3 linked regions of the Canis lupus familiaris genome follow. The protein of the gene in region 1 purifies or fractionates together with the protein of each later gene. This does not show direct contact. Links are inferred from orthologs where the notes say so. Each region holds a gene or a part of one and is shown on either strand. Other genes may lie near its edges.

Evidence for each region. The genes of interacting proteins can lie anywhere in the genome.
Region 2: the proteins of STUB1 (region 1) and DNAJB6 purify together in Homo sapiens (affinity purification with mass spectrometry; 4 studies listed by BioGRID and IntAct, with this or other methods). This does not show direct contact. The link is inferred for Canis lupus familiaris from reciprocal best matches to the Homo sapiens genes STUB1 and DNAJB6.
Region 3: the proteins of STUB1 (region 1) and PKM purify together in Homo sapiens (affinity purification with western blotting; 3 studies listed by BioGRID, with this or other methods). This does not show direct contact. The link is inferred for Canis lupus familiaris from reciprocal best matches to the Homo sapiens genes STUB1 and PKM.

The regions. Positions count from the first base shown.
Region 1 is NC_049227.1:40,363,618-40,367,629, forward strand, and holds STUB1 (E3 ubiquitin-protein ligase CHIP), read right to left. Parts: upstream 2,846-4,012; 5' UTR 2,733-2,845; coding exon 2,574-2,732; intron 2,018-2,573; coding exon 1,819-2,017; intron 1,727-1,818; coding exon 1,561-1,726; intron 1,501-1,560; exon of another isoform or gene 1,352-1,500; coding exon 1,264-1,351; exon of another isoform or gene 1,146-1,263; coding exon 1,089-1,145; exon of another isoform or gene 1,009-1,088; coding exon 892-1,008; intron 815-891; coding exon 689-814; 3' UTR 441-688; downstream 1-440. Other genes in the region: JMJD8 (jmjC domain-containing protein 8), read left to right, coding at 1-29, 105-239, 314-394. UniProt on the Homo sapiens protein: E3 ubiquitin-protein ligase which targets misfolded chaperone substrates towards proteasomal degradation.
Region 2 is NC_049237.1:20,508,715-20,512,716, reverse strand, and holds the start of DNAJB6 (dnaJ homolog subfamily B member 6), read right to left. Parts: upstream 2,839-4,002; 5' UTR 2,735-2,838; intron 2,307-2,734; exon of another isoform or gene 2,257-2,306; intron 1-2,256. UniProt on the Homo sapiens protein: Has a stimulatory effect on the ATPase activity of HSP70 in a dose-dependent and time-dependent manner and hence acts as a co-chaperone of HSP70. Plays an indispensable role in the organization of KRT8/KRT18 filaments.
Region 3 is NC_049251.1:36,175,245-36,179,305, forward strand, and holds the start of PKM (pyruvate kinase PKM), read right to left. Parts: upstream 2,839-4,061; 5' UTR 2,753-2,838; coding exon 2,703-2,752; intron 1,143-2,702; exon of another isoform or gene 1,006-1,142; intron 1-1,005. UniProt on the Homo sapiens protein: Catalyzes the final rate-limiting step of glycolysis by mediating the transfer of a phosphoryl group from phosphoenolpyruvate (PEP) to ADP, generating ATP.

The sequences.
Region 1 (4,012 bases):
GGTTCTCAGAGGTGATCTACGGCCGCAAGGTCAGCACGGGCCGGGGCTGCGGCTTGGGGCTTACTGCCTGCCAACATGGAGTGACGGGCTGATCTCACCCTCAGCGCTGGTTCCTGTATCCCCCTGAGAAGACACCTGAGTTCCACCCCAACAAAACCACACTGGCCTGGCTTCAGGACGTGTACCCAACCCTGGCACCATCTGAGAGGCCCCTGGAGTGCACCGTGCAGGCTGGTGAGGTCAGTAGGTGGCAGGAAGGGGTCAGGCTGGATCACACGCCACCAGCTAATCCTTGTGCCCCACCCTCCACCAGGTGCTGTATTTCCCTGACCGGTGGTGGCATGCTACGCTCAACCTGGACACCAGTGTTTTTATCTCTACTTTCCTCGGCTAGGTAGAGTGGGCGGCTGGTGAGCCCAGCACACACCAGCACACACCCCTATAGTGCTCACAGGTTTTATTACAGGACAGTGGTGGCAGCAGCCCACCCTCACCTGCTGTTTCTGGCCCAGAAGGGGGTGGAGGTGGGGCTCATGGTCCAGCAGCAGAACTGATGAGGGTGGGATAAGGGACACCAGGGCAGGGATCTAGGGACACAAACTATGTACAGGAACTGGGAGCTACTGCCCCAAAGCCCACCTGGGCCAGGGTACTAGGCAAGGCAGGCAGCTCTGGCACTCGCCTGGCCTCAGTAGTCCTCCACCCAGCCGTTCTCGGAGATGAATGCATCAATGACCTCTTTCATGGCCAGGTTGGGGATGAGCTGTTCCTGGGTCAGGGGGCTCCGGGTGACAGGGTCAAAGTGGCCCACACGCTGCAGTGTGCAGTGACAGCAGGTCAGAAAGTGCTCAGTGGTTACGGGCCCTGCTCCCCACTCTTGTTGGCTCTCACCTGCAGGTGTTCCTCAATGTCCTTGCGGTCGTAGGTGATGCCACTAGGCGTGATGCACGGCTCCCGCATAAGCTCGAAGCTGATCTTGCCACACAGGTAGTCCGGGATGTCTCGCTTCTGTGGCACATGGAGTCAGGTCAGGCACCAGGATGGGGACCCGGCTCCGATTCCTGCTACCCAGAGGACAGACAGCTTACCTTTCTCTTCTCGTCCACCTGGGAGAAAAGCTCATCCATGTCTGCTAAGTACTTGTCCTGCGGAGAACCAAGCAGCTACGCGTGGGCCAAATGCCCCTTCCCCCTCCCCCGGGCACCCTCCAGTCACAGGCACGCAAACACGCACACATCCACACGTGGGCTGGGGCACCCTCACGTGCTTGGCCTCGATGCAGGCCTGCTGGGCCCGGACGTGGCCATCATCCTCATCACCCTCGTGGTTCCGCTGGCATTCTTCTAGCTCCCTGGGGGTCGACCAGGAGCTAGTCAGGAATGGGTCTGGCCAGAAGAGATCACACTCCACCCCAACCTCAGGCTTGTTCAGGTCTCTCTTCCCTCCAACTGCTCGCCAGTGCTGGCCTTCAATAAACACTTGTGTTCTTGACTCAGTTAACCCCAGAGTGCTGCCTTGGGGGTGGGTGGGGCCCTGGAGCCTGCCGCTACCACAGCCCACCTCTCCCGCTCGGCCACAATAAGCCGAGTGAGGTAGGAGTGCAGCTCATTCTCCTGGTGGATGCGCCGCTCCTCGATGCTGTTCCAACGCTTCTTCTTGGCGATGCGCAGAGCACTAGGGATATCATCCCCGAAGTTGAGCCGCTGCTCCTTGGCAAGGTTGTAGGCTGGGGGAACAGGGGCTTCAGGTCACCTTCTGGCCAGTCCATCCACCTGGTCCCAGGCGCCCCCGCCGTCCCCTGACAACCTGTAGGCCCACCTCGCTGCAGGTTGGCGATGGCCTCATCATAGCTCTCCATCTCTAGCTGGCACTGCCCCAGGAAGAAGTGTGCCTTCACAGACTGCCCGTCCAGTTCCAGAGCCCGCCGGCAGTCAGCCAGGGCCTGCTCATGCTGCTGCATCTTCAGATAGCACAACGCCCGGTTGGTGTAGTACACGGCCACCAGAGGATTCCGGGTCTGGGGACCAAGGCCAGGCCAGCCAGCATGAGGGAAAAAGCTCCGTGGGCCCTGTCCTAGGCCCTGTCCTGGTCTGGGAGCCCGTAGCTAAAATCCAGACACTAGAAATTTCTCAGCTTGGAAGCCTCTGCTCAGCTAGGGCTGTAGAGTGAACTCCCGGTCCTCAGGCCTGCGCTAGCCCACCCTCTCGGGGCTCCCAGGAGGTTTTGTAAAGGTGAGGTTCCCGGACCTGAGGAGAGCCCCAGCTTCGGGCCTGGGCTTCTCAAGGGACAGGAACCCTGGTCCCGGCCTGGGGCCTCGAGCACCCCTCAAGCTCCCACCCGCCCCTCCAGCAACCAGCACTGGCTCGAGAACCGCGCGGCCTTGGCTCGACTGGAACATGATCAGCACCGAGTTCTCGGGGCCCAAACGCCCCCGCGGGCGAACCAAGACCGCCCCGAGGGTCCGGCGGGAGCGGCGGGGCAGGGGCTCCGGGGAGGACGCGGGGCCGCGAGCCGGGCCCCGCCCACTCCCCCGCCCGGACGCCGGCCCCCTCCCCCGGCGCGGGCGCACTCACGATGGCGCGGCCGTAGCAGGCCGCCGCCTCCGGGTACTTGCGGCCCACGAAGAGCCGGTTGCCCTGCTCCTTGAGCTCCTGCGCGCTCGGGCTCTTTTCGGGGCTTCCGCCGCCGGCGCCCAGCCGCGCGCCGCCCTCCTTCTCCTCCTTGCCCTTCATAGCGCCGCGCGGCACAGCCCGGGCTTCGCTCCCAGGCTCCGCGTCTGGCCCGCCCTGCGCCCGCAGCCCGAGCCCGCAGCCCGAGCCCGCGATCCGCTCGGGCCCGGTCCAGCGATCCGCCACCGGAACTTCCGGCCGCGCGGGGCGGGGCCAGCGGCACGGGCGGGGGCGCGCCTGCGTCCGACGGGCCGCGGAGGCAAGGGGGGGCGGGACCGACTGGGCGCATGCGCTCGAGGGAACGCGACCCGCGACGTCGGACGTCCGGGACAGCGACAAGCGCGGCCCCGCCCCGCCGAGGCCCCGCCCCGCCTAGGCCCCGCCCCGCCGAGGCCCCGCCCCGCGCGGACTAGGCGGCCGCCGGCTGGCTGCGCGGCCGTGGGGCCTTGAGGGCCGCGGGGCTGCGGTCCTGGCGCCGCACGGGGAGGTGCCGCGGCCGCCAGGGACGGCTGGAAGCTCTGGAGCGGTGGCAGGACGGCCGAACCCCGCTGCCCGAGGCTCCGTCGCCGCCCTCCCCAGGCCCCAGAGGGCTCCCCGCGGCCACCGGGGGCGGAGCGGAGGAGCACGTGGCCGCCGGCGTGGAAGCGGGGGGCGGGGCTCCGGGTGAGGTTCCCCCACCCACCCCGCCCAGCCCACCTCGGCCCGGCCGGTGAGTGTCGTCGCCTGCCGGGGGGCCCGTGGCCGTGACCCCGGGGGTGCGCGGGAGCCGCCTGCCCAGACGCTGGCGAGGCTCGAGCCCCGGCTGCAGGAGCTCCGAGGCCGCCGCGCGCCCGCCGCCCGCGGCCCTGGGGAGGCGGGGTGCATGCGGCAGGCAGAGCCGGCCCGAGCGCCGCATGGCCTGGGCCCGGGCCCCCGCCCCCCTCTGTCCCCGCCCGGGCGGGACCTCAGGCCCGGGACCCCTCCCCGCGTGGGACCCGCCCCAGCCTGGCCACCCGCAAGGACACCGCGCCGGCCCAGAAGCGCAGAGAAGCCAGGCTGGCTGAACCCTGCTGGGCCCGGGCCACAGGGTTCTCGGAGGGCGGGCGACCGGCTGGGCTGCAGTCTCCGCTGCCTGTGAGGACCCCAGCTCCTCGCACACCCGCCACACGCGCACGCCTGGTTTGGGTGCAGGGAGCACCGGGAGAGCTTGGGCTGCCGTGCGAGGGCCGGGCGGGCCCCTGGGGCCAGCCCCCAGAGCCCACTGCAGCCACCTCCTGCTGTGTAAAATATTTATTCATTCTCCAAAAAGGCTCAGACCGCAAGTTGTGGGGGAGAGGCAGGGGCAGGGTCTCCCTAGGGCCACA
Region 2 (4,002 bases), on another chromosome or scaffold:
GGAGACCTGGGATTGAGTACCACGTCGGGCTCCCTGCATGGAGCCTGTTTCTCCCTCTGCCTGTGTCTCTGCCTCTCTCTCTCTCTCTCTCTCTCTCTGTGTCTGCCATGAATAAATAAATAAAATCTTTTAAAAATTAAAATAAAATAGTCTTTCCAGGGCACCTGGCTAATTCAATTGGTAGAACATGTGACTCCTGATCTTAAAGTTGTGAGTTCAAGCGCCGAGGTCAAGGTAGAGATTACAATTAGTCAATCGTCCTTCCATTCCTACATTATAATTTCTACCACTATTCTTATCTTCACCAACCTTGCTGTTCTTCTCATTTACCTCCTGAATTTCAAGTTCTCACAAATCTTATTTATCAAAGAGAAACGACAGCATTTGTTAATTCCTGTTGGCCACTGTCCCCATCCTAAATTCCCTAATAAACCTGCAATTACGCCTATTTCACCACTAGGTGGTGTTCTGAACAAATTTAAAGCAAACCAGAGTTCTCAGACCACCCCCACTCTAAATTTTAGATTTCCAAGAAAAAAAGCCTTTCTAATTTACAAATAGAGGCTGATTCCATTCACTTAATCCTTACCATCCTGCAACAGAAAAGGCATGCAATCACCCTCAACCCTTAACTAACACAGCAGATGACCTGTAATGGGCAGTCCCAGCAACTGTGGAAGGTAACAGAACATCACCAAGGTAACAGTAGTACACTGCAACCCTGAAAAGTGAATTTAAAATAACTCACTAAGGGCGGCTGGATGGCTCTGGTCAAGATCCCAGGGTCCTGAGATCTGGGATGGAGCCCCAGGGCAGGCTCCCTACTCTGCTTCTCCCTCTGCCCTTGCTGAGCTCACTCTCTCCAATAAATAAAGCAAGCCTTTAAAATAAGTTAAGTAAATAAAATTATAAACTTACTGAATTTTAAAGTGCCCTCTTAAATAAAACAAACTAAAAAATATGCAAACACCATCCCCTGCCCCAACCTGGTTTTTGAGTTTGCGAGTCAGAAACTACTAATGGTAGGGAGTAGAATCGTTTTAAAAGTGTCCAAAACAGGGGAGCCCTGGGTGGCTCAGTGGTTTAGCGTCTGCCTTCGGCCCAGGGTGTGATCCTGGAGTCCTGGGACCGAGTCGCGCATCAGGTTCCCTGCATGGAGCCTGCTTCTCCCTATGCCTCTCTCTCTCATGAATAAATAAATAAGATCTTAAAAAATATACATCCTTTAAAATAAATAATAAAGATGTCCAAAAACAAAGTGAAAACAGAGGAAAATGGTTCTACTCTTAATATTTACACCTACGAAAAATAATGGGCTTGCTGAAAGACAAAAGCTATTGTGTGCCACTTAATTGCAGGTGTACTATCATTCCTCGTCCATAATTTAGTCTTCAGAATATTAAACACCGCTCTCCACCCAGCCCTCCGGATAAGTCTGTCCCGCAGCCAGAAAAACCTCTCAAATACACCAATCTCAAATCAAGGAAACAAATTTAAAACACAGATTTTTTAAGTGGGTGCTGAACTCCTGTGAAATCCCCTAACTGCTCCTTAAGTCCCAAACCCTAAGCAACAAGTTGAGGCTTAGGCTCAGCCCACCCCACCAAGCCAATGTACTTCCCCAACTCCCATGCGCCTTATCCAGAACATTCCACCACTTACCGGCTACTATGCATAAAAACCACACATCCTTTTGTTACACAAACACGCAAGTACTAACCCCAAAGTAGTTAAAAGTGCACATTATGAACTTCCCAGGGAACCGGGGGTTGGGGTATCTGGGAGACGCGGGAGGGAAGCACAGTGCGGAAACATTTGGACCCGCATCATTATTCGACACGATTACAGCAGAAAAGCAGCAACAAGTTCCACGGGCTTGCTAACCCCTCCTCTCGCTGGCAGCCGACTAGTCCCGGCCAGAGCCGAACCTCCCCCCCCCCCCCCGCCCCCCTGCCAACCCCGGGCTCGCTCGAAGACCTTCCGGGACCACACGGTAGGCCACCTACCCTCCGTGCCTCAATTGTCCCCTTCCTTGGGCACAGGCTGACGTAAACCTCACTCCTATAAATCATGACACACTCTGAAGCAACAGACCAAACCGGCTGTTTGGGTGAGATCCGGGCGTTTTGCTCATCCGAAAACTTTTAAACAATTAGTGGGAAGTTCCGGGAACGCGGCTTCGCGTCTCCCGGAGCCGCTTCCTGGTCTCCGTGTTCGGGGCGTCCTCCCCCAGACTGCCACCCTCTGCAGACCTACCTCGTCTCTGGCTTTGGGGTCATCCACGTGGGGCTTTATGAAGAGTAAAAACCTGCCTTCCCGCGGCGGGGCCCCCGCCCAGCCCGCCCCCCGCCCGAGCCCCGGCCCAACCGCCGGCGCGGGGCGAACCAAGGGCGAAGGCCGCCCCGACCCCGGGGCCCGCCCCCGCCCCGGGCCGCGACTCCTGACCCCGGCCCCGCCCCGGGCCGGGCCCCCGTGCACCCAGCCCGACGCCCACGCCCGCCGCCCGCCCCCGCCGCCCCGGCCTCACCGCCGGCCCGGGCCCCGCCACCCCCACCCGCCGCGCCCGCGCCCCCGGCCCCGGCCCGGCAGCCCGCAGACACCCCAGCCCGACGCTCACCTCGGAAGGCCGGCCCCACGGCAGGCCCCAGATCCCCGACCCCGGGCCCGAGCCCCCCGCCCCGGCGCGGCCCCACACCGGTCCCAGGCCCGCCCCCCGCCCGAGGGCGACGCTCACCCAGGACAGGGAGCCGGCGGCGGGCAGGAGGCGCGGCGGGGCGGCGGCCCGGGTCCCCTCGGCTCCGGCACAGCGGCGCTGGCAGCGGCGGCGGCGGCGGCTCCTCGCGCTTTCCTTTCTCTCCTTTCTCCGACAACAAACAGGAAGTGCGTCACGCGGCGGCGGCACGGCGACGTACACTTCCGCCCGGCCCTGACGCCGCGCATGCGCCCCGCCCCGCCCGCGTTCCCGAAGGTTCGTCGAGGCCCGGCTTGGGCGGGGGTGGAAGGGAAGGGCCAGCCGCGGCGTCCCGGCGCCCCCGGGGGTGCTGTCCCGCGCCCACCCCACCGAGCGGCGGCCGTCACACACACTCAGCCTGGGCGGCCGGTCAGGAGGCCGGGCCCGCGCCCGCCGCCCCCCGCGACAGTGCTCTTTGTCGTGTCCCCTCTAGTAGCAGGAAAACAAGGTGACCGCGGCTCCAGGGACCGCAGAGCCTCCCCTGCCCCCCTCCTGGAACTGACCCCCACCCCCACCTGCAGAGCCTCAGCTGCCCCCCTCCTGGAACTGACCCCCATCCCCACCTGCAGACCCTCCCCTGCCCCCCTCCTGGAACTGACCCCCATCCCCACCTGCAGACCCTCCCCTGCCCCCCTCCTGGAACTGACCCCCACCCCCACCTGCAGAGCCTCAGCTGCCCCCCTCCTGGAACTGACCCCCACCCCCACCTGCAGAGCCTCCCCTCCCCCCCCTCCTGGAACTGACCCCCACCCCCACCTGCAGACCCTCCCCTGCCCCCCTCCTGGAACTGACCCCCACCCCCACCTGCAGAGCCTCAGCAGCCCCCCTCCTGGAACTGACCCCCATCCCCACCTGCAGAGCCTCAGCTGCTCTCCTCCTGGAACTGATCCCCACCCCCACCTGCAGAGCCTCAGCTGCTCTCCTCCTGGAACTGACCCCCACCCCCACCTGCAGAGCCTCTGCTGCTCTCCTCCTGGAACTGACCCCCACCCCCACCCCCACCTGCAGAGCCTCAGCTGCCCCCTCCTGGAACTGACCCACATCCCCACCTGCAGAGCCCTAGCTGCCCCACTCCTGGAACTGACCCCCATCCCCACCTGCAGACCCTCCCCTGCCCCCCTCCTGGAACTGACCCCCATCCCCACCTGCAGAGCCTCAGCTGCCCCCCTCCAGGAACTGATCCCCACCCCCACCTGCAGAGCCTCAGCTGCCCCCCTCCTGGAACTGACCCCCACCCCCACCTGCAGAGCCTCTGCTGCTCTCCTCCTGGA
Region 3 (4,061 bases), on another chromosome or scaffold:
AGGGGAGGATGAAAGGAGGAAGGGCAGTCCCAGCTCTCCAAGAACACTGACCTAGTTAGTACAACTGGTCTTCCTAAAGTGACTTTCACAGATCTGCTTCTATTTTGCTTTATTTTTAATTGAAGAAAAAAAAAAAGGAATATTAACATCCGTATTTCTACCGCCCAGAACTGACTACTAACATTTAGCCAGAATTCCTGTAGACTTTTTTTTCTTAACCATTACAATTTTGTAGTTTATTTTCCCTCCGTCCCCAGGGCCCTCCAACCTTTCGACGAACTTTGACACCCAGCCACTGTCAGGAATTTTGTATCCTTCTAATCCATTTAAGCATCTATATCTATACTGATCCCTATGACACCGTTTTTCTAAAATGCCCTCAGTACAATACTGTACAAATAAACATCTTGCTTTTTTTCAGCACATGTAAGATCTATCCTGCGGGTACACAGATCTAGTTAATTCATACGAACGACTATGCCGATCCGCTGCACGACTACATCGGTTATTTACGCATTCCCTTACTGGTTGGCAACCCAATCAATTTTCCCCCTATTATTCAATGCAATCAACAATTCTCCTGGTACACGGCTCTATGTGCAAGTGTGAGCTTCTATATATATCCAGAAATGAAATTCCTAAGTCACAGGGTATGTTTATTTTCTATTTTGCTAAATATTGCTGAAGGGCCCTAACGAGGTTATATCCATTTACAACCATCCAGCAATGTGAGTTCTTGCCCTCTAACACTTCTGCCAGCATTCAATATTGTCAGAGCTTTAAAATGTAGACCCTCTGGATAGGGGACATTAACCTGTTTTCTAATGTCATAACAAAAGAGAGATACCAGTTATCAAAAGCCTCTACTTCCCTACCTCTAACGAGATTAAAACTCCCAGGGCTCCTTCAAGTTGCCCGTGGTTTTGTCTCCTATACCGTGACTGATTCACTGACCGGGTTAATTCTTTTGCCCTCGTCGCTGGAAACACGGAAGACACTAATTACCTGAAGTTAAAGAAGTACTAGCTGTAGGTCGACTTCAAAGGCTCGGAAGGAATGGGCGCCTTTCCAGAGACCTTTTCGAACTATATCAGCTAAGCTGGCACTGTCACAGCTTGGCTTGGCATCTCCCCCACCACGGCCCCTGCCTAACTTCCAAACATAGCTTGCTGGCGTCAGGGAAGAGAGGCTTAGAGCTCCCCAGAAGCTTTGCTATGGACAGAAGTGGGGGAGGTAAGTCTCAGAGGCCGCCGGAGGTACTGCAGCCCGGCTGGCCCTCCTTCCTACAGGCCCTCCTTCCTACGTGCAGAACTGCACAGACCGCTGCAGGGGCGGGCGCCACACCACTCGGTGGCTCTGCCAACACCCCCTCCCCTGAGCTGAGCAGTCACACCGGGAGGCTGAGAGAGAGGCCCACCAGATGTTGCACACCCCCATCCACTAGCCACCCTGGCTCACCTTCCCCCAAACAGCTTCCTTAACAAAGCCCCAAACAAGCAGACTATTCATTGGTCTAGTCTGAGACGGGCTCGTGGTGAAAAACCCAAGTTCCCAGAGCATGCTCGCATTAAGAACGCTCTTCCTTTAGCTCTAGTCCTAGCTGGACCAGAACTGAGGTTTAAAGTGATGACTCACAGTCCTGGAGGACTTTTAAAAAATGTTTCTTTTTTAAAGTAATCTCTGTACCCAACATGAGGCTGAAACTCCCGACCCCAAGATCAAGAGTCGCCCTTTCTACTGGCTGAGCCAGCCAGGCTCCCCTCCTACAGCATCTCCCACCGAGTAAACCACTTCTACATTTCCCAACGTCCTCAACAAGGCTGCAAGAGAACTTTGCTCAAACGGGCGACTCATCCTTGTGGGGTACCACCTAACTGAGATTTGACTGTAGACGTTTGGAATGATTCAGAAATAAAATGTCAAATGAGTCATTTTCTCCTACCTTGAGCTCAGTCTTAGCTCTTGGCCAAAATAACACATCCTGACATGCCTTCATACAAGCTGAAGCAACATAAATTAGAACCAGGGTAGTGTGAGTTGATAATGCAAGAGTTGGGTTTTTCCTAGCTCACAGTCATTTCCTCATTTCTTCCACTGCCTCAACATTAAGAAACACACAGCTTTAAGAAATAAAATGGCTTTTCCCGTGACACCCCCCACCCCATTAATGTCACAACATCCAAGGCACAGAAGCAACTTGTACAAGGTCCTAGTTCTGTCTGGAGTCCCCCCTACCAAATTGGCCAGGTCACTGGCAAATTATTAGACACCCAAAAATGCTTTCTGTTAAACTATGAATTCAACATCAAAATTATTTACTCCTAACGCAGTGCTTAGAATGAGAGCAGCTAAACTAAGACTGGAAGAGACTAATGTCCATCTATTTTGACTCAAGTCAGAGGTGAGTTCAAGGACATTCTTTCAGTCATCATTATTCATAACCATAACAGGCCCCCCTCCCACAAAGGACTGCCGTGTCCCCTGGGGAAGTCTCAGGAATGCAGGTGCATAGACTACGTTACTTGGGCACAGGCCTGTGTCACGCTGCACCTAAGCTCTTAGGGGAGTACAGAGAGCAGGGACAACCTGGACAACCACTTTTCACTTAACTGGGGAAAATGCGTGTTTCACTATTTGACTCACTAAATGAAGAGAAGGGACTTTTTAAACCTGTGAAGACCACAATGCAGTTTCCCACTCACCCAACAAAGAGAATTCTCTCAAAAGCAGAGAGGTTGAAAGGTTGAGTCATCTTCCCCCAGAGGCCTCCCCACTCATCCACAAACCTGGTGATGGGCTACATACCCTTCCCCTCAGGACAGCCCCACTGCATTTCCCAACAGCATCTTCAGGCATCAAGAGATTAAATTATTTGCTCACAATGCCTCAGAGCAGGAGTCCTGACCTAGGATATCCTCTGTACCCCAGGGAGTGGCCGCACCCTCAGTACTACCAACAGGAGGCCACACTGTCCTTGCCTCCTATCCCAACCTCACGCTGACCACTTGGCTGAGCAAATTCTAGAACACCACCCGGAGCAGGTGGGGACAGCGGGGGAAGAGTGCAGCGTGGGGGCTGCAGGTCTGTTTCTAGTCCTACAGCCCAACACCAACTGCCAGAATTCCGACCCTCCTGGCCTTCCTTTGTCTACTAACCTCAGGAGACCAAAGAGCCCCGGTAGCCGAATGGGGAGCTGCAAGGTAACCTTTATTAGTTACTTTGTAATCACTGCACCAGGATCCCTTAGGGGATTGGTTTCCAGGAGATGTCTAGTATTTAGAAACCCTGACTTAGGAGTTAATCCCAAGATTAACTAGGAGTATGTGTTTGGGGATGGCAAGGAGAAGATGAGCCCTTGTGCTGAAGCAGTTTATGTAATTGTGCTCAGGGACCGAGGAACACATCCGGAGTCATTTCTTCTGGACATTTCCTCACTAGACAGGAGACACTGCGCCCAGTGTGAATAGTAACCCGTCCTTCAACAGTCAGGAGCGAAGAGGTTACTGTTACACACGGGGACCCCCTGCACCATTGCTGTATGCTAATGAGCCAAATTCGATTCTAAAAGCCTGTTAACTTCTCTGTGCATCGTGCCCGGACCTTCATCAGCTCGGACTCACGTGCACGGGAGAGGATCCGCGCCTTGGGTTTGAAGAACACGGATAAAAAGCGGAGGAACGCAACGCCGTTCCCCTGGGCTCTTCAATGACCTTCACAGCGGAAGGTCCTTCCCGGCTTCGAACCCAGAGCGCGCGGCCCCCGCCCAGGGCTCCGGCGCCGCAGCCCGTCCCGCGGCGCCCTGATCCTCCCGAGCCCCCCGCCCCAGAGCAGCACCGGCTGCACCCAGTGGAGGCGGACCGTGGCGCCAAGCGCTCCCCGTGCTTCCCCTGCGCCCCTAACCCGCTCCCACCCGCTCCCTCGGTGCCCCGAGGCGGAGGCTGCGCAGGTCCCCGGGCGGGGAGGGCGGGGAGGGGGCCCCGGGCTGCGCCCCCGACGGGCCCCTGCGCCTCCGCGGGCACCGGGGGGCGGGGCGGGGGGCGCCGGCGGACGAGCCCAGCCCC